6 separate regions of the Mus musculus genome follow, and all the other regions are reported to be linked to region 1. Evidence: microRNA targets listed by miRTarBase, many of them from high-throughput screens and not tested one by one. Region 1 holds a microRNA gene; each other region holds the end of a gene's coding sequence.

What was found. The annotated mature microRNA mmu-miR-338-5p reads AACAAUAUCCUGGUGCUGAGUG and lies in region 1 at 949-970, opposite strand. An mRNA with a match to its seed (bases 2 to 7 or 8) in the 3' UTR can be bound and repressed. Matches are read on the target gene's strand: a 7mer-m8 pairs with bases 2 to 8, a 7mer-A1 pairs with bases 2 to 7 and ends in A, and an 8mer does both.
Region 2: miRTarBase lists Pcdh20 as a target of mmu-miR-338-5p. Seed matches in the 3' UTR shown: 8mer at 2,846-2,853 and 7mer-m8 at 2,510-2,516.
Region 3: the mRNA of Tiprl is a reported target of mmu-miR-338-5p. Seed matches in the 3' UTR shown: 7mer-m8 at 930-936.
Region 4: miRTarBase lists Map2k7 as a target of mmu-miR-338-5p. Seed matches in the 3' UTR shown: 7mer-A1 at 1,922-1,928 and 7mer-A1 at 1,912-1,918.
Region 5: the mRNA of Elfn1 is a reported target of mmu-miR-338-5p. Seed matches in the 3' UTR shown: 7mer-A1 at 1,141-1,147 and 7mer-A1 at 1,162-1,168.
Region 6: miRTarBase lists Boc as a target of mmu-miR-338-5p. Seed matches in the 3' UTR shown: 7mer-m8 at 518-524.

Annotation. Positions count from the first base shown.
Region 1 is chr11:120,013,868-120,016,867 of GRCm38, forward strand. It overlaps Mir338 (microRNA 338), which reads right to left and starts at 995; the gene lies at 898-995. Aatk (apoptosis-associated tyrosine kinase) reads right to left here. Exons shown (of 14, transcript NM_001198785.1): 4 at 2,861-2,940; 5 at 2,446-2,564; 6 at 2,239-2,326; 7 at 1,592-1,725. Mir3065 (microRNA 3065) reads left to right here and starts at 900; the gene lies at 900-986.
Region 2 is chr14:88,464,033-88,467,251 of GRCm38, forward strand. Pcdh20 (protocadherin 20) reads right to left here. Exons shown (of 3, transcript NM_178685.5): 3 at 715-3,219. The coding sequence ends at 2,972. Among named protein-coding and RNA genes, the nearest start is that of Pcdh20, 5.8 kb to the right of the region's middle.
Region 3 is chr1:165,212,956-165,216,174 of GRCm38, reverse strand. Tiprl (TIP41, TOR signalling pathway regulator-like (S. cerevisiae)) reads left to right here. Exons shown (of 7, transcript NM_145513.4): 7 at 295-3,219. The coding sequence ends at 435. Among named protein-coding and RNA genes, the nearest start is that of Sft2d2, 20 kb to the right of the region's middle.
Region 4 is chr8:4,245,200-4,248,418 of GRCm38, reverse strand. Map2k7 (mitogen-activated protein kinase kinase 7) reads right to left here. Exons shown (of 12, transcript NM_001164172.1): 11 at 2,831-2,876; 12 at 522-2,724. The coding sequence ends at 2,590. It overlaps Tgfbr3l (transforming growth factor, beta receptor III-like), which reads right to left and starts at 205. Exons shown (of 7, transcript NM_001195258.1): 1 at 67-205. The coding sequence starts at 136.
Region 5 is chr5:139,973,457-139,976,675 of GRCm38, forward strand. Elfn1 (leucine rich repeat and fibronectin type III, extracellular 1) reads left to right here. Exons shown (of 2, transcript NM_001384186.1): 2 at 1-1,269. The coding sequence ends at 273. Among named protein-coding and RNA genes, the nearest start is that of Elfn1, 67 kb to the left of the region's middle.
Region 6 is chr16:44,482,882-44,486,100 of GRCm38, reverse strand. Boc (biregional cell adhesion molecule-related/down-regulated by oncogenes (Cdon) binding protein) reads left to right here. Exons shown (of 19, transcript NM_172506.2): 19 at 302-1,056. The coding sequence ends at 489. Among named protein-coding and RNA genes, the nearest start is that of Gm30064, 46 kb to the left of the region's middle.

The DNA of each region.
Region 1 (3,000 bases):
TCTGGCTCCACACCCTGTACTGGCTATTTTGGAAGACCTGTGTGGACTTCAATGCATTTCTAATACTTCTTCTTCTTCTTTTTTTTCTTTTTTTTCCAGACAGGGTTTCTCTGTGTAGCCCTGGCTGTCCTGGAACTCATTTTGTAGACCAGGCTGGCCTCGAACTCAGAAATCCTCCTGACTCTGCCTCCCAAGTGCTGGGATTAAAGGCTTGCGCCACCAAGCCCGGTTTTCAATGCACTTCAATGCATGTGAAAATCAGGCAAAAGATGCTCAAGGACGACCCCCCCCCCCCAGCAAAGTGCTGTCTAACTGCACCAGAGCCCTAACCCGCTCCACCCTCTGTCTGATCTGCCCAACAAGGGCCAACAAGCCATGGAGCAGAGAGTCTGCAGTGTCCTCTCAGGACCCTCACCCTTCCGACTACACTCCACCATCCCAGTCCCCAGGAGGTAAGAACTGATGGAGAAACCGAAGCCCGGAGTGTCTCAGAGGGTCCTGCCAGCAGTCAGAGCCCATGTTCTAGAGTGCAGCCCTGCCTGGCCTGCTACACAAGCTGGAGCCGAGGTCTAGAACAGTATGGACCACAAAGGCCCCTTTGTGTGGAGGATAAAAATCACCAACTCAGTGGGAAGCCTGGAATGCCAGGCTCTGTATAACTCTTGCTTGGCTATAGCGCCCCACCCCCAGGTGTTTGGGGTACAGGACAATAGAGTGCCACGGGACGCACCCTCATCTGCCATACTGGCTGTTCTGCTGAGAGATCTCTGGATGTAGATGGGGCCACCTTGGCCTGCCTCTACCCCAGGAGGACTGTGTCAGGGGACAGGGTGGGGTGACCTGGGTCCATGCCTATGGGTGGGGCAGCTGGGCTAGGCAGCAGGCAGGGCAGGAGGCTGGCAGCTGCCCTCTTCAACAAAATCACTGATGCTGGAGTCACTGTGCACCCACTCAGCACCAGGATATTGTTGGGGAGGACGGCCTGTGCAGCGTTGGAGCTGGTGGGCCGCTTGTCCGTTGCCACTTCTTCCAGCATGTGCCCCCAGCTCATGGGAGGCTGGGCATCCTGGCCACCAGAGGCAGGAGAGAGCCACCCCTCCCACTACAGGGCCAGCCCAGCCACTCCCTTTGTGGCCTGAGGGAAAGAGGCTGGGGTTGGTATGGAGCCCAAGTATGGCTGACTGCTCTAGTAGACAGGATGGGTTTCTTCATTTAACTGTCTGCAAGGTGAGTTTCAAATGCCAAGTCTTCACAATTTATTTCATTTTGAGATGGTCCTGCTACATAGTCCTGGCTATTCTGGAGTTCATTAGGTAGACCTAGCAGGACTTGAACTCACAGAGATTCTCCTACCTCTGCCTCCCAAGCGCTGCAATTAAAGGCGTGAGCCACCATGCCCAGTTAGTTTTCCCAGTTCTAAGAATGATAAAGTTCCCTGCAGAGTGGCTATTTTTAGATGAACCCAGTTCATGAGGCCCACAACGTGGGATCACCGTGACTTTTCTGCACAGGGTCGTGTGATGGTGAGGGTTAAGGCCCTGGGGGAGTGGGGCTTTGTAGCTGTAGCCTGGCTAGTCTCGCTAGCCCTCACCTGTGTACATAGTTGTGTCGATGTAGATGCAAGACGCCACACGCCACCTCGCACGCCATGCGCTGCAAGGTAAGTGGGTCAGGCGCCATGGACTCTGTCACCCGGCAGCTCCGTAGATAACCTTTGAGGTCCCCCTGATGGACGAGAGAGCACACAGTCACCTGCTAGCTGCAGCGACCAGCCCATCACAAGTCTGCCACCCACACCAAGAGAACCTGGGTCTGGTGGCCTGTGGATCAGCTGTGAACCCTAGTGTTCACTGCTGTTTCAGCAAAGCCTGTGTCTCAATTCTGGCACAGTGACCTCCATATAAGCAGCCACCAGAGCTGTGCATGTAAAGGGCCCAAGGGGCAACACGAAGACCCAGAACTCAGGCTCTGCCCCAGGAGCTTCGGGAGCCCTGTGGCTGTCCCAGGACACCTCTCGCTGAACTATCCAAGACCCCACAGTGTTGCCCCTGCTGCTGCTGGCTCACTTTCTCTCCGCAGACCTCCTCTGAGGGAGAGCAAGGACTACCAGGACTCTACTTTAGAAATAACAAAAGACCCCAAGAGGCTGAGCAAGAGAGGAGCCACTCCCCTTTGGAACAATGAGCTACAGAACAGGACCGGGAGAGACAGAGCTACCTCCCCGAGAGGACCACTTACCAGTGGACAGAACTCCATAACCAGCAGGTAGGGGGTCACTTCAGCACACTGGGCCAGGCACTGGAGCAGGTTGCTGTGCTGCAGGGCCCTGGAAGAGTCCACGGGTGTTTAAGTTGGAGGGCAGGAGAGGGTGTCCCATAGCCCTCAGTTTCTCCCACTGTGCTGCTCCCCTGCCCGGCCCCACCCCGCCCCCGCCACACCACCCACCTGTAGGGCTGCGCCTCCTCCAGGAACTGCATCTGCTCCTGCACGCTGGCGCTCACCTTCAGCTCCTTCACCACCACCTGCGTGCCACTGACGCCCGAGTGTACCTCCCCCAAAAACACCTGCCAAATGTGACAGGCATCACCAGGTCCCCTTTCAGTCTCCATAGGAAAAGCCATCTAGCGCCCAGGGCCTCAGATGGTCATACAACTTCTCACCAAGCTCTGGCTAGAACCCTCAGCCCCAGTCCACCCACAAGGCTCCTACTTTTCTCACTGCCTGGGGACTACAATGAGGAAAAAGGAATCAGGTACATGGTCCAGTCTGGGGCGGGTGTTAGAAAGAGCCCCTCCCTAGGGGATCCCCAGGAGTAGTGGGTCCACCCTTTGCCATTCCTGCCACCCCGGGGCATGCTTACCTTCCCAAACCAGCCGTGGCCAATCTCCTTTAAGTACAGGAGGCTGTGCCGGCCCAGGTCCGTGGACTTGAGAAGTTGCACTAGAGTGGAACAGAAATCCAGACACAGCTTAGCCACCGCTCCCTCTCCATCTTCCCGAC
Region 2 (3,219 bases), not on the chromosome of region 1:
ATACTAGGGATTAGGTTTTTACTAATGTGCCAGTTTCTTAGGTTTTTTTTAAGAGGTGTGTGTGTGTGTGTGTGTGTGCTTGTGTATGTGCATGTTTGTGTTTATGTGTGCTTGTGTATGTTTGATTGTGTGTGAGTATGTGTGTTTGTGTGTGTGTGTATATTTGTGTAAGTATGTGTGTTTGTGTATATGTATGTTTCTGTGTATGTGTTTGTGTGTATGTGTGTGCTAGTTTTGAGTTCTTGATAAAAGTGTATCTGCCAGAAAAAAATGAATAGCTTTTTAAAAAGTTTATGATCATGAATCAAGTATTGAAAAGATAATGTGAATTATTTACTTACCCAGATGAAATTGCTATATTCGTTTTATATTTTCAAGTTCAAATTAATGAACCCTTTCCTCCATAGTGTAAGATGTATTTGGCAGGGCAGATATCAGAGACATCCCTTCATCATTAAATTGGGCAAGGGAACTCACTGGCTCTCAAACTGTTAAATGGATATTAGGTCTTTTAATGAATGGAACAGTTATCTTGGTGCCAGCTTAACTAACAACATTGACATGATTAGCATACATTTTGGCAACAGTTGTAGCACAGGGTCTCAGGAAAAAGAAGCTTTTATGTCTAAGCCTAATTTACTTTAGCTTTCCCTGCTATGTCTGCTTTTAATGTGAACAAAATAATATGCAAAGGAAATCCTACAACAAAATTATTTATGAATACATAATTTTATTAAGGTCATTGATATTTCTCATGCAAGAAATGAAGTTCAATAACCAAACCGCCCCCAAACACATGAACCATGCTCAAATTGTGAAATGAATAGAATGTTTTCTCTTTTTATAATGATGCTAAAAGTCATGAAGCTTGTGGAGGATTTATTTATTTTATTAATGCTGCCTCATGTCTTTTATGTAGCTTCTCCTTTTATTAAAAAAAAAAAAACTAAACAAACTGACTGTAAAAAATGTGTTGCTTCTTTGTTATGTAAGAGTTGTGAATGAACAGTTTATGGGCTTTGATGGTCTTATAAGTCTTTTATTTCAAGTGTCTATCATACAAAAGGAGCATTCATGAAAATATATTGAATTTTTTGTCTTAGATTCTGTTGCCTTATATATTTATTTATCTATATTATCAAAGTGAAGAAAACAAGAATAAGCAATTAATATAAATCTAATATGTCCTGTGTTTATATTTAAGCTTTTTTATCGTGTGCTATTATCTTAAAATATTGCAAGTTAGTGAAACACAATAAGCACAGAGGTTGCTGGGATGTGAGGGAACACTCACAGTGATATTAAGTCTATAATTAGCTAATGGGAATATAGTCATGCATGAATGCAAATTTTCATAGGAACTTAAACATATAAGCAAATTCTCTTCTATATATGTCTACAATTTACACACCCTTAATAATTTACCCAGTGCTTAATTAGGTCATGGATTAGTTTAATATAAACTTTAGCATAGCAGAATACCACTATTTCTCACACTTAATCCTAGAAACAGACACCAATAGCAGGCACTTCAGTGAAAGAACAAGCCAGTGTTCAAATATAAAATGGTAAAAATAATCAAGAAAATGTGAAAATATAAACTTTTAATTTGCAGACATATAAACAATTTTGGTATGGTACAGACACATGAGGGTGATAAGTAAAGCGACTCACTTTGAAGCTAACACATTTCTTGTTTACACAGACAACTTTGCTACAGTTCTTACATAAAATAAAATCCCCATCTCATGCAAAGAAGGAAGCGATAGAAATCACCGACAAACCAGGTTTCTTCATTGCAAAAGACTGGTAAAAACTAAATCATCAAAATAATCTGCAGATGGGCTTACAAATAAAACTTTGGATGTATTCCAGAAGCAAATAGGGAAGCCAGAACTTTAGCTAATCGTCCAAAACAACTACAAAAAGTGTAACTTTCATATAAAATGCCTAACTCAAACAACCAACAGCGTACAGTAGCCTTTTGAAGAATTCAATCTGAATACAACTTTTATTTTTCTTATAGGGTAGATGAACAGAAGTGGACCCACGCTAACATAAAACCCACGGAAAACTTGCTGCTGACCAGCGAAGAGTGCACTAAGATATCATAAACACCAAGCAAGCAAGTAGAGATTGAGACACTGATGTGTGTCTTGATCTTTTACTGAGTACAATGTCTAGATGCTTTTCACGAACGGAAGAATACACAGATGGTTCCTAACCCCATTTAATTCTAGCAAGTGCAGGAGGAAAGCAAACAGAGAGCAGGAGGCGTTACACGAAACATCGCACTCTTCAGCAGGTCAAGTTTATAACACATGGCAATGTGTTTTGATGCTTGCCCCTAAATAATTGTACTTCTTTTCAAAATGCCTTCTCTTTCAAACTAAAATCGGTGTACCTATGAGGTAATACATTTTCTGTTTGCAAGTGGATTTCTTTTCTTTCTTGTCATATATTTAAGCAGAGAATTCAGTTTACCTTAATTTTACATTTAATGTTAAAAACAATATATTTAAAATATACTCTCTCCTTAATTTCCTGTACAACAACTATCATGTACAATGCCACAGATCCCTGCAAAGGGGAAGCTGGTGCCCTCTTGTGGTGAAAAGACATTTTAGAAACAACAAAAATGTACTTCTCTTACCTTAGTCTTGAGTTTTGACAGTCATCTGCTTGGTGTATTAGAGCTGCCAGTTATATCCAACATTTTACATATAGGTATTTATATATATATATAAATAACAATGATATAGCTGTTAGTACTAATTTTCATTTAAAAATTCTGTACACATTTTATAACTTCTGATTTTGCATTAAAAACCTGTAAACAGCTATTTACAATATAGTACAAGTTATAAATTAATTGTCCTTTAGTGGAACTGTGTCAGCACAATGTTGTCTGCTTGACAAAGACTACCTATGGCAGTTACAATGTCCCTCCATGTTATTCCACAATGGCATATCAAATGTTAGAAATATCCACTGGTTTTCTCTCTCTCATACACAAGTCAATTTTTCCTTTCAATGGAATCTGTACTTCCAAATTGTCATCTTCCCTGTGATGCTTTTTACCTTTCCGTAAGCAGATGTATATTCCCATCCCTGTAACTAGTGTGATGGAGCCCAAGCTTATGACTGACAGAGCTACCAATGTGGGCATACAGGACATAGATTCTACCTTCCTATGAGTTGGCTCTATTGAGATTTGTG
Region 3 (3,219 bases), not on the chromosome of region 1:
TTACTCAAGTAACGGGTACTAGGGAGGGATTTGATCAAAATGTGTGGGATTCTTTTAGCACTTACAGTAGCACTGTCAGTTATGACACCAAGTTCCTTGAAGATCAGCCACACAGTTGAACGATTGAGTAACAGGAAGCAGCTGTTATCTGGGGGAGCACTCAATGCTCCTCCTTACGTGGAGTGTCCCCAGGGCTGAAATTAGCATGCTTTGTGAACTCTTACACTAGAAGGTTTCAGAAATCGTGTGAGCCATAACTGAGAATATACTAATACGATTTTATGTTTTTCCTAGCATGTTCCACCTTCCCTCTTCACGGAACCTAATGAAATATCACAATATTTACCAATTAAGGAAGCAGTTTGTGAGAAGCTCGTATTTCCAGAAAGAATTGATCCTAACCCAGTGGACTCACAAAGTACGCCCTCAGAATAAAATGTGGTACAGCAGACTCTCTCCATGTGGAACCTGACTGGAAACCTTGGCTATTTGTAGGGGTATTTTTATTATGAGAATTAATTTCCTTGCTTATGCGCAGATTTTCTGTAGCCTTAAAGGAAAATAAAAGATTGCTGCAGGCAGGTTCCACACAACTCCTGTTTATCCTGTCTGTTTTCAAGTTCCTGCTCCAGAGAGAGATGTGCTCTGGAGCTTACGTCAGCAGTGATGTGTGTGGGTCTCATGAGGGGACATGGTCTGCATCCGGCCTGAAGCATCGTCTTCACTGTGAGGAGGCTGACTGTAAGGCTGTCACTGAGCCCCGATGCCTGGGACCTGCCGGCCGCCATAGGATGCTGACTGCATGCTGATGTGCTACTCTGGCTCTTGGCTGTGGGCTTTCTGGTGTTTGTTCGCACTTACGGAGAGTTGTGACATGTCACCTACAAAATTAATCTTGTATTAGTCATTAGTTGGAGTTTCTGGGCAACATATTGTGTGTGTTTGTACACACAAGTATTTTTTAAATCTTTTCATTTAAATGTCTTTGTCTCTGAGTAGTGTTAGATTACTTATTTTGATAATTCATTGTTAAAAATTGTGGAGAATTAAAATAAAATAATTGACTTTTTAAAAAAAATTAAAGAGGTGGGCGGTGGGGAGGAGGAGTGTGCATCTGAAGATTGTATTAGTGTATCCCTGTGAGGAGTACCCAGGTGTGTCCTTGGCCATTTCTAAATATGACATATGCCATTTTATATTTATTTGTCCAAGTGTCTTTTGTAAGAGGAGAATAAATAATAAGGAATTATGTATTCATAGTTTGCTGTTTATTTCAGCTTTTCTTAGACTTACTTGAAGATTGGATTAGGATGTATCGTTCTCATTTATTTTGTTCTGAACCCGTTCAGTATTGCAGACACATTTCCCACGCAGATTACAAATGGAAACTGCTAGGTATGAACGCGATCCCCTAGTTTGTTCGCCTTTAAGCGCCTGTCTCTCTTCTCCCTCTGCTCCTTACACTCCTGAGGGCACTTTTAAGTAGTCAGAACACATGGGTACATGTCATGCATAGCATCCCCTTCAGTTCTGAGTACCGTGTTCTCTGATGTGGTATAAGGGATTACATAATGAAGCGATAGAATGTGGTTGGTCCTTTATACGGCGAGTGCTGTGTATGTGGAGTCATCCGGCTCCTCATCAAACAGTTGAAAACATCCCAGCGATTATGACCACGCACAGACTTTCTGTTGTCATTCCCTGACTGTCAGTTTTAGCTATTTGCCTTGTATTAGGTATTATGAGTGAAATACAGGGTAATTTATAGTGTATGAGAGGATCTGATGGCTTATTTTTTATTTTGGTATTTATGTGAATGTGAACCAAATCTCCTATGGTGACCGAGACAACTTTTTGTGGGGTTAAGGTCCGCCAGAGAATGCAGAAGCATCTACACGTGGTGTCAGATGTGATGGCAGAAATAACAACTTGAGAAAGATGGGAGGAGCGACTTTGGTATTCCTCTCTGCTTTTGAAGAAGCTGTCGCAGGCCTTGAGATTGTCATTACCATAACCAGGGAAAAAGCCAGGCAGTCAAAAAAATTACCATGCCTTGAACAACTGAAAGTGGGATTACAAAACAAACTGAATCTCAAAGAATGGGAAGCTCCAAGGAGAAAAAGGACAGAGACTGCCTCCTCTTCAGAGCACAAGAGAAAGGTGGCTAATATCACCACAGCCAACATCTTACTTCAAGATAATCACATCATTTAGTCTTCCCTTCCGTCCTCTCAGCCTGTCATATGCTCCTCCCTGCTCTTTTCAAATTCATATATGCATGACTGTCTAGCTTCTAAATATATAAGTACAACCTGCCCACACTGTATAATGTTACTTGCATGTATGTTTTCAGGGCTGACCATTTGAAGTTAGATAACTAAATTATGCTGTTCCCTGGGGAAGAGTGTTTGCACCTGTCTCGACATTCCTTAATTTACTGTAGTTCATTGTGTAGGATCATTTTACAAGTTCTTTTTTTTTTAAAAAAAAAGATCTATTCTGTATATTTGAGTACACTGTTGCAGTCTTCAGACATACCATAAGAGAGCATCAGATCCCATTTCAGATGGTTGTGAGCCGCCATGTGGTTGCTGGGAATCGAACTCAAAACCTCTGGAAGAGCAATCAGTGCTCTTAACAGCTGAGCCATCTCTCCAGCCCCATTTTATAAATTCTTAAAGGCTGTGTGAGGACTAGTGTGTCATTTTTGGAATAGCTACAAGTCTCATTTAAGGGGACTTACTAACTTTCTCAGTTAAGGATTTGCCTCTTAGATCCAAAGGTCTGTGCCTGGAAAAGAACCAAGCGGAGCTCACGAAAGTCCTGGTAAGGAGGCCAGGCAAGCAGGAAGTAACTGGGGACAGGGGTAAAGCCCTGCCCACCTACCCTAGGTTCCGAGCTCTGAAGGGTTTAAATGCCTTAGGGTGTTGTGGGGAAAGCTGCAAAAACCTGTTTTCATCCCTATTGCATCTGACAAAGCCTACTTGCCCCTGGAGGAGGAGTGGAGGGAGAGTCCTGGACAGGCAAAGGACAATTCCTACCAAAGAAGGAATGGAAGCCAAACTTGGCTGACTTGATGAGGAACTGGAAAGCAGCGTGGACCATAGTTGCATATGCAGAATACTGAGGACTGCTGCCTCTGGTGGGAGGGTGCTGGTGACGTTCTTCACTTGGGACCATTGATTTAAGGTTGGGTTTCCCCCGATTGCTGAATGAGGT
Region 4 (3,219 bases), not on the chromosome of region 1:
GCAGTTGAGAAGGGACAATGGGCAAGTGGGACACAATGCCCCCACCCCGTGGCAGCCTCTACGTACCACGTGGTGTACCGTGCTTACTGGAGGTCCCAGGGAGCAGGGCCAGGAGCAGGAGCGCAGTGCCCACCATGGCGGCCTGTCCAGGTTCGAGTGCTCCAGACCGGCAGCGAGCACCTGGCTGGGCTGTACCCAGCCCTCTAGGTGTGGGTAGGTAGCCCTGGCCTTGGTGAGGCTGCCACCCTGGGAAGCAGGGAGCGGGGGCGGAGGATGGAGGGGCTGACATCTGAGCACATGCTCAAGGCCAGCCATGGATAAGGGCTTTCTTGATGTACTGAAATTTCTACAAGGGGGGCCCCTCACAAAGCTGCCTGATGCCTTCGGTCACTCCAAACACCTCCCACCCAGCTCCCGGCCCGGCTAGTTTCCCATGAATGTCATCCCTAACCACACTAAAAGCCCTCCTCCCAGGCCCTTCCCATATCTCTGTACACTCTACCAGGCTTAGGACACCAGACTCGGAAGAAAAGGGAAGGGTTTTATTCTCAAGCGTCTAAGGATTTACAAACAAGGGTATTTTGTTTTAAAAAGGGAAGAGGGCAACACTGGTGGCCTGAGGAGGAGGTCAGAGGGTGGGACCAGGCCACTCCAGGTCCCTACCTGCCCGAGACCCACTCTGCCTGGGCCTGAGGGATGGCTGGTGACAGAGGGAAGGACTTGGGAGAAGGTGGGGAAGTGGGAGACTCCTCCAGACTCCCACTTAACATTAGAGGGCAGTAGACAAAGACAACACAGACAGACAGACAGACAGACAACACACAGAAAATAAAGTTAAATAAAAATAAAACCATCAGGCCCAGTCTTGGGCCTGTGCTGGCCCTGGGACCAGCCATGTGACCTAAGTACACACAAAGGCTAGCCATGCTGCGGCCAGCCTCAGAATGGTAAGGGTGGGGCCGGGCTTGCTACTCTCTCCCTACTTCATTCCGCCTCCCCAACACAGGAGATAAGGAGAGAGGGTGCCCTACCCTACCCGGGCATAGAAGATGACTTCTATTACGATTTAAGCATGCGGCATTGTGAGAATAGGATGAAGAGGCGTCAACAGGACAGTTAAGAGCCACAGTGTCACCTAAGCCTACGTATGGTTGCATCAGCTACTTCCAGCAAGGTTTCTCAACTTTGGTGCTGGGATTTGTGGTTGTAAATTTTTTTGTTTTGTTATATTGTTCTCTTGTCCACTTGAACTGCATGCATCACCAACAAAAAGGAAACATACCCCACTCTGTCCTCGAAACTGCAGGACAATGGGACAGGCACCTGGCCCAGTCCAGGCCACAGGTTGGGTTGGAGCTGGTCAGCTCTAGGTGAGCTAAAGCATGCTCAGGGGCATGTTGGGAGTAAGTCGCGTCGCATCCCAATACTCTGGCCTCCCCTGCATTCACGCCTGTCCGTCTCGTCCCTGATTCACATGCTCGGACCTCCACATCTACTCCCTTCACTCCTAATCCCTGACTTCTCGGGACCCCTCCTGCCCCTTGGCAGGATTCCCTCCTGTCACTGTTCCCAACAGTCCCTCCCTGCTACCTGCTACTCTCTACTGCATCCCTCATACACCTTCCCTGAAGGCCATCGTGTGGCTGAGGCCCCTGGTCTCCCTCTGTGCCACCTGAGCTCTTCTACTCAACCCCAAACTGTCAGCAGCTCCCAGTCCCATGTGAGGGTCCCCCATGGAGCCTGGCCTCTCCTAGGCCAGAAATGACAAGGAGCAGCAAGCAGTCCAACCCCCAATGCCTGAGGCAATGGAGGAGAGGGGGCCACCACAAGCAGCTAAACATTACTTTGGTAAAATTTTCTGAAGGTACCGACCCCATGAGGACACCCCCCCCCCAACACACCCCCACCAAGTACAATAAAATACAATAAACTCCAAAAGGACCCCCTGAGATCAAAGAGAGACAGACAGACACAGAGACAGCAACCATTTGGCTGCAGTCACAATGCCCACAAAGCCATCCTAGGACAAAGACTTAAGGAAGCCTAGATGAACCTGGGGCTTCCTTCCACTGAGGGTAGAGTGGCGGCACCCAGGCTTCAGAGGCTGGGAGGGAGACAGGGGAACCAGAAAGGGACAGTGGTAGAGAGGGAGGGGACAGAAGGAAAGACGTAGAGCAAGCATGTGTGCGAGAGAAGGTGGAGGGGACAGACACTGGGAGTTTGGGGGGATGGGGACAAGGGGCTTTCTCTCTGCCCCTGGGGGTTACCCCAGCCCAGAGGTTATGATTGAATAAATAGCGAGTCTGCTCATGGCCTGCTGTCTTCCGTTCACAGTGTCTGTCGGGGTGGGATGGGGCTCACACTGCTGGCTGACCCCAGAGTGGGAGGGATTAGGAACCAGCATGCCCTTTTGTCCACAGCTGGTAGGCAGGGAGTCAGAGCTGGATGGGAACCCCCTACTTTCTGTCCTCAGTCCTTGGCAGTCGTCCAGGTCCCAGGTCCCCTGATGGGCAGCTGGGTTGGCCAGGTTGGGGGGGGGGTCGGTGGCCGTGGCCCGGGGCCCCTGCGGGGCTGGCCGCTGCCATGAGGCTACCTGAAGAAGGGCAGATGGTGCTGACTCAGGACTCCACTAGTCCTTGGGGACTCGGTCTTCGCCATGACATCCTTAAACCAGGACGCGACATCCACCTCGAGTATCTCATAGTGCTTGATGAAGCTGTGTTCCTGTAGGCCCAAGAGTTTGCTTATTATGAGGAGTCAGTCCTCCTGGTCTTGCAACTGAGACCCGGAGGACTTCACACGTGGTGGGGGTTGGGGGAGAGGTACTCACAAGTAGCTTATTATACTTTGGTCTCTTCCTGTGATCTTTAGTAAGGCTGGACAAAGAGCAGGGAGAAAAGAGAAATGAGAGTCAGAAAAATGAAGCCCGACTGTGCCTGGATGCCCATCTATGCTCAGGCCCTCCCTCTCCAGTAAGCCAGAAGCAGCTGCTCACAGCCAGGCTCCACCAGGCTGGGGATCCACAAACTCTCCTGGCCCAATATAGTATTAGGTAAAGACCCAGCTGGGGAGCTGGAACCACGCGCAATGTGAGGGTCACATCAGAGAAAGTTAAGACTCAAGTGTGATATTCCTACACAACCTCCATTGCAAAGCCACAGGGTCGCCATGCCAGACACCCACAGGGCCAGCGGTTCCCCACAGGTCCAAACAAACCCA
Region 5 (3,219 bases), not on the chromosome of region 1:
CCTCTGACCCGGCCACGACCCCGAGACCTCGTCTACTCGCAGCTGTCCCCACAGTACCACAACCTGAGCTATTCATCCAGCCCCGAGTACACCTGCAGGGCATCCCCAAGCATCTGGGAGCGTCTCAGACTGAGCCGACGGAGACACAAGGATGATGCGGAGTTCATGGCGGCTGGCCACGCCCTGCGCAAGAAGGTTCAGTTTGCCAAAGACGAGGACCTGCATGACATCCTAGACTACTGGAAAGGCGTGTCTGCCCAGCACAAGTCCTGAACCTCCCTCCACCCTTTGGCAGGGCCCAAGGAAGCCTGGCCCTGTCCTCTCCGAAACTCGTGATGCCCATTGGACCAAAAAGGATAGACCACCCACAGCAGCTATCCCTGACTGAGACTTAACACTAAATCCAACATATGTGCACAACCAGGGGCCGCTGCATACAGCACCTGGCCCACAGGGACAGCTTGGGGAGGCCGCAGGTGGCCGAGACAGTAGATATACTAACTTCCATGTAAACTGTAATGTGCCTGCTGCCTGGTGCAAGCAAGCAAGACACACACACACACACACACACACACACACACACACTCACACACTCACATACTCACATACACTCACACATTCACACACTTACACTCACACATACATTCACACACACAAATGCACACACATGCATGTGCGCGTGCACACACAAACATTTGCACACACTCACACATGCACATGCACACACATGCACACATGGGACTTCGGAAAACTGTGTCTTACGGGTGGGGGTGGGGGAGGGGAAGTTTTTCCATTATCTTTCCTGTTTTGAGTCTTCTCTTCCTTTTCCTTCTTCTCTCTCTTTATTTTCTTCCTTTTTAAAAAATATATATATAAAAGTGAAAATCTTTAAAAAAAATAAAAGAGAGAGAAAGAAGAAAGAACTAAATCACCTAGCGTGGGGCATGTGACCAAGTCTAGCCAGCTTCATGGCACCCCCTAAATATGATCTCCCAGGCTGTGGAGTGCAGAGGGGTGGAGCATCTGGAGCCTGTGAGACTCTAGTGGGGAGGTGAAGACTGTGCCTGGGGACCAGTCAGGGTGGCAAGAGGGGTGCAGGCTGGGAAACATTGTGTGGTCCCTCCACCTCGACCCCATCTTTATTGTACACTGTAGCTGTTCTATTGTACAGAAAAAAAAATCTATATTTGCAAAGTTTGCTGTAAAATGAGAGAGAGAAAAAAAGACTATGTCTACTAAAAAAAATCTGCAAAGGAAAAAAAATCCAAATACATGTGTTCTGTGGGTTTTTACTGGGGTAGTAGTGGTGGTTCAGGGTCCCATTTAGGCAAGCAATTGTGGATCGTGGCTTTGATGGGCTCAGTGGGAGCCTATGGGAAAAGTTGTGGCTCACACTGGGCAAGGAAGTGTCCAGCCTCTTTGAGGGCAGGAACAAGTGTGAATGGGTCAGAAGCTAGAGGCAGGAGGAGGCTGAGGAGGGTGTGGCTATGCCAGGGCCTGTGTGCAGACCTAGTAGCTGAGGGGTGGGGACAAACAGGGACAAACAGGGGCTCCTCTGAACATGGTGGTCATGGTGGAATTGGTTAGGGTGCAATGGTTACAGGGTGTGTCTGTGTGCCCTTCTATACCCAGAGCACCGCCCACATGGAGACGCCTCCTTTCCCTACAACACAAAGCCAGCCTTCATTCTCCCACCACCAGCCCTTGCCTCTCACCCCATTCTCTCTCATGTGGCCTTCTCTGGGTGGTCCCATCCACGGGGGGTGTGGGGGGAGGTGAGTAGCTTTGGTCTTTCTAGAACTGATAGAAGTAAGTCCTGCTCCGAGGCTAACCTCAGTACTTCCTGTTACTGAGACTGCAGTCACCTGTTATCAAGAACATACACCATCTACGTCCCTCTAGCCCAGTGCTGTGATCACCACACCCAAGGCTGGTATCTTCCAGAGAGGTTTAATGCTGTATTGGGAAGGTACACCTTGTTCCTTCATACCCATGGAACCCCGAGGCTATTCTCCCACCTGAGCAGCCAGGAGGCATGTCTCCCAACCAATGTTCCCAAACTGGTTTGAGGACCTTCCCCTCATTCCCCTTAAGGCCCTAGGACTGAGGGCTCCCCGCCCATGGAAAACAATTCCTAACATGGACTGCTGACAAAGACCTAGCAAGACACCGACATCCCGGATCCAAGGAGATGCCTGAAGAGTTGTGAAAAGAAGCAGGCTTCGGTGTCTGATGAGCTGTGGGGAAGGCCTAGATCCCAGTTTGGCTGGAGATGAGGGCAGAGAGGGTGGGGGAGACCTCCAGGGGCTGGGGGCAGCCGTGGATCAACAGCCTCTGCTTGCATACTCCTAGGAATGGGAGGTCATCTTCCCCTCCAACTTTAGCCACCTTCCTTAGATCCACACAGCTCCAGGGTCCAGTTTGGTCTCCTGGGTCCCCGGAGGGGAGCATAGAAGCCCACACAGAGCCCACACTGGATACCTAACCAAGGTACACTTGACAGGTACCTCGCCAGTATACCCTTTAAATGGGCCCCCTTCAAGAACTTCATGCCCTGTTCTTTCTTGTCTGGCCTAACAGGCCCCTCCCTGCTCTGTACCCTCCCAAATGGGGAGCCATAGGTGGTCCAGTATGGTCACACCCAGAGGGGAAATGTAGGCTCCAGAGCTGGTGATGGAGGCCCAGAGAGGGACAATTTTTCTGCTCAGGGGTACCTAGCCACTCAGTGGCCGCCATTCTGGTTACAGGACAAAAGAAGGTGGCCAGGCTTGCTCGATACATTCCCTGTCGCCAAGGAGACAAAATGGCTATTTATAGGGGGACCAGGACAGAGAGAACTGGCACCAAGATGGGGTTTGGTGGAAGAATCATAGGTCCAGAGAGGGGTGAGGGCAGAGAGGCAGGAGGCAGGAGGCAGGGGCAGGATGCTCAGCTGCTGGTGCTCAGGCAGTAGTGCCTACCTAGTCTCCCAGGGTCTCTCAGGGGTTGATGGAGTCAACTCTGAACTGAGTGTGAGCTGGTGACAGAAACCCACACAGCTTCATATCCTCATTAGAAGAGTTCCGAGTATGTTTGATGAGGGCTAGAAGAAGGCTTACACCTTTAAAAAATTTAGATTTATTTATTTTATGTGTATAAATGTTTCACCTGCATGCATGGATGTACACCCTATGTATTACTGGTGCCTGTGGGGGTCAGAAGAGAGTGACCAGTCCCCTG
Region 6 (3,219 bases), not on the chromosome of region 1:
GAAATTCTAAAAGACCATCAGCTCCAAAGCCAGGCCAGTCGTCATGAAAACAAGGTTTGGTTGGATCGTGAGGTAGAACACAGCCTGGCTAGAGAGAGCCGGGCATCCCTTTGTGTTTTGTGTGTACGTAGCTGATGGCTACAAGTCGAGTGCTTTGAAGTCTAATGCCTTTGGTCCCAACATAGATGAATTGTAAGGGTCCTCCCCTTCCAGGGCCAGTGTGACCAGCTATAGGTAGAGAGTAGCGCAGGACTGCATAGTGAGTCTAGATTTTAATGTCGCCTACGTTTTCCCCTCACAGGGCCCCAGTGCTGTTTAGGTCTTGTACCAGTTGAAGAAGTAGACAGTTCTGACTCCTGCCAAGTGGGTGGAGGAGACTGGAGTTCCCAGCATCCATCAGGGACCTACACAGGACAGGAACGTGGGATGCGGTTCTCGCCTAGCCCATCAGTTCATGTGTCCTTTGAAACACCACCTCCCACAATTTAGGCCGAAGCTAATATCCCAGAAAGACTATATATTGTTTGTTTGTTTGTTTGTTGACAGAGAAAAATTGGTATTTATTTTTCTATTATAGCCATATTTATATATTTATGCACTTGTAAATAAATGTATATGTGTTTCTATAATTCTGGAGAGATATGGAATCCTCCCCTTTCTGGCACAAGACAGAAAGCAAGCAGCTGAGTAACTGGAGACCAGTGGAAATGAGTATCATAGATGGTCAGGCTGCAGATGGATCCCAGAACCTGCAGCTACCACGGACACCAGGAGGCCCTCGGGCCACTTGGTGGAAGGACCCTAAGCACACTGTTCATGAAGAACACAGGGATAAAGCAAAGGCCATCATGCCGCAGACTGGAGCCACCTGGAAGCCACTCCAATTTGGTGGCACAGGACAGGTTTCCAAGATGTCACGAGAAAAGCCCCAGATGTGTACAGCACTCTAAGCATTAACAGTCTCCCAGAATCAATAATCGGTGGCAACATATCTCTGTAAAAACAAACACTGTAACTTCTAAATAAATGTTTAGTCTTCCTTGTAACCTTCATCTTAGTCACGAGTGAGTCAGCGTTTTCTTTAGACGTCCGGCGTCCCGTCTTTGAGTGGCTGCAGTAAAGCCCTGCTCGAGATGATTTCCAACCCATCAGAGATAAAATCTGGGAACAGTCGCAAATATTTTTCATATTTTTTTGTCTCTTTAAACAATGAATGCTGAATTTGGATTCATGTAACATGACACTACAAACTGCTTACTCCAAGAAGGAATACACAGACAGGAAGCAAATTCACTGTTCTCTTGCCGGACTGGAGGTGAGCATCTGCCATATTGAAGGAATGAAGTGAATTCTTCTTGTGTAGGGATGTGTGTGTGTGTGTGTGTGTGTGTTTTAAAAGACCAACTATTGCTTCCAAAACACCATTTAGCTTAGTACTATGCCACCCGTTAACACGTGGTCCCTAGTAGGTTCCTTTCATTCTAAAGTTACCATTGCTGGAGGAGTTGACTCATTTCAAGCCAACATTTATTTAATGTTGTTCCACAAAAAGATCATTCATAGGGGTAAGTGTGTGAGCGTGCATTCGTGCGTGTGTGCGTGCGAACTTAAAACTTTTATGTGTGGCACAAGACTTAATAAGAAACTGAACATTTTAATGCAAGTCTTCACACATTTTGAGTATTCATTGTGCGGGGAGGGATTGTATATTTCAGGAAAATGAGGAGTTGGAATTCAGCCTGACACATTTAATCTTATTAAGAGTTGTATCAGACTGCTTTTCCAAGAATTTGCTAAGCAGGATCTAAGGTAGACTGGGATAAGGCCGCCATCTGCTGGTGGAAAGGAGTACTGCACCTAGCCATCGGTAGCCTTGCATCCGTTTTTCTACAAAGACGGCTAATCTGAATAAGAACTGTCCTCAAAATGCAGCATGATTTTCAGGAAGGTAGTGGCTTTTAACGTGTTTATAGAAATAAGTGTAAGGAACATGGAAATTATAAGAGCGTGAGGTCTAATCCTGCAAGGGAAGAAGTAAGATATGTGATTTCAAACACATACTGAAGCCTTTAGCGGTCACTTCCAGGAGAGGAATGGGCAGAGCTAATGCTTGCAGTCTTTGCTAATGCAGCTCAAATCTGAGCTGTAGTTAACTTGACAGGCTGTTGGAAGCTTGTTTTATTTTTGTAAAACCTAATTTTGCCTTCTACCTCTCCGTGACCTAAAGTAAATGTCAAAATGGGTTTTGGTGTGCGCCACTAAAAGCAACGTATAGACACCCTGCTTACTGTACTCTTTCAGGATGGTCAGACGCTGAAGGGAGTTGTCCAGGCTCCCTAGGATCCTGTTTCCCAAGTCTGCTACCAGATCCTGAGACCCACAGACCTCTAACCTCTAGCTCAATAACTTGTTTTTAAAGCTAAGTTTTGAGGCAACTTTTTTACGCATGAATGAATGAGCAATGAAGGCTATGATTAGCACCTGTTTGCCTTCATCAATGAAAGGCATAGCTGAGTGGAGAGACGGAGTTACTTCAATCTACTTCATACCGTATGAGGCAACGACTGATTGCTTTTTTGTTTGTTTGTTTGTTTGTTTGTTGCAACAGGGTTTCTCTGTATAGCTCTGGCTGTCCTGGAACTCACTTTGTAGACCAGGCTGGCCTCGAATGCCTCTGCCTCCCAAGTGCTGGGATTAAAGGCGTGCGCCACCACGCCCAGCGACTGATTGCTTTTTAGGTGGCCTTGCCCTTAATCTGCCTCCCTTTACATGAGCAATACAAAAATCCAGAGGCAGACTCTTCATGCTGTGTTGGTATGCACAAACACTACTACCATGTCCAACATGAACCATGGGTTAGGCTTAGGATATTCTTTCAAGGAAAACCGTACTACCTACCAACTCACCAAAGTAGACAGGGAACATGCAGATACATGAATGTGTTAGAATTATATCAGAAAAAACCCAAACAGGCCCAAGAACATACCTAATACACTTCGACCTTCATCTGGACACCATAAAAAGAAGAGTATCTAACACTGTGAGAGAACAGCCTTTAGCCAGTCATCTGACCCCCAGAAAATGTGCCAGGGATTGCTGACACACAAAGCATTCTAGAGGCTTCTACTATGATGCTGCCATTGGTCCATCTGGACCCAGCCCTGAGCCTTGCATCAAAAAAAGTCCAGCATTTCTGCTGCTAGTGTCAAACCTGAGCAT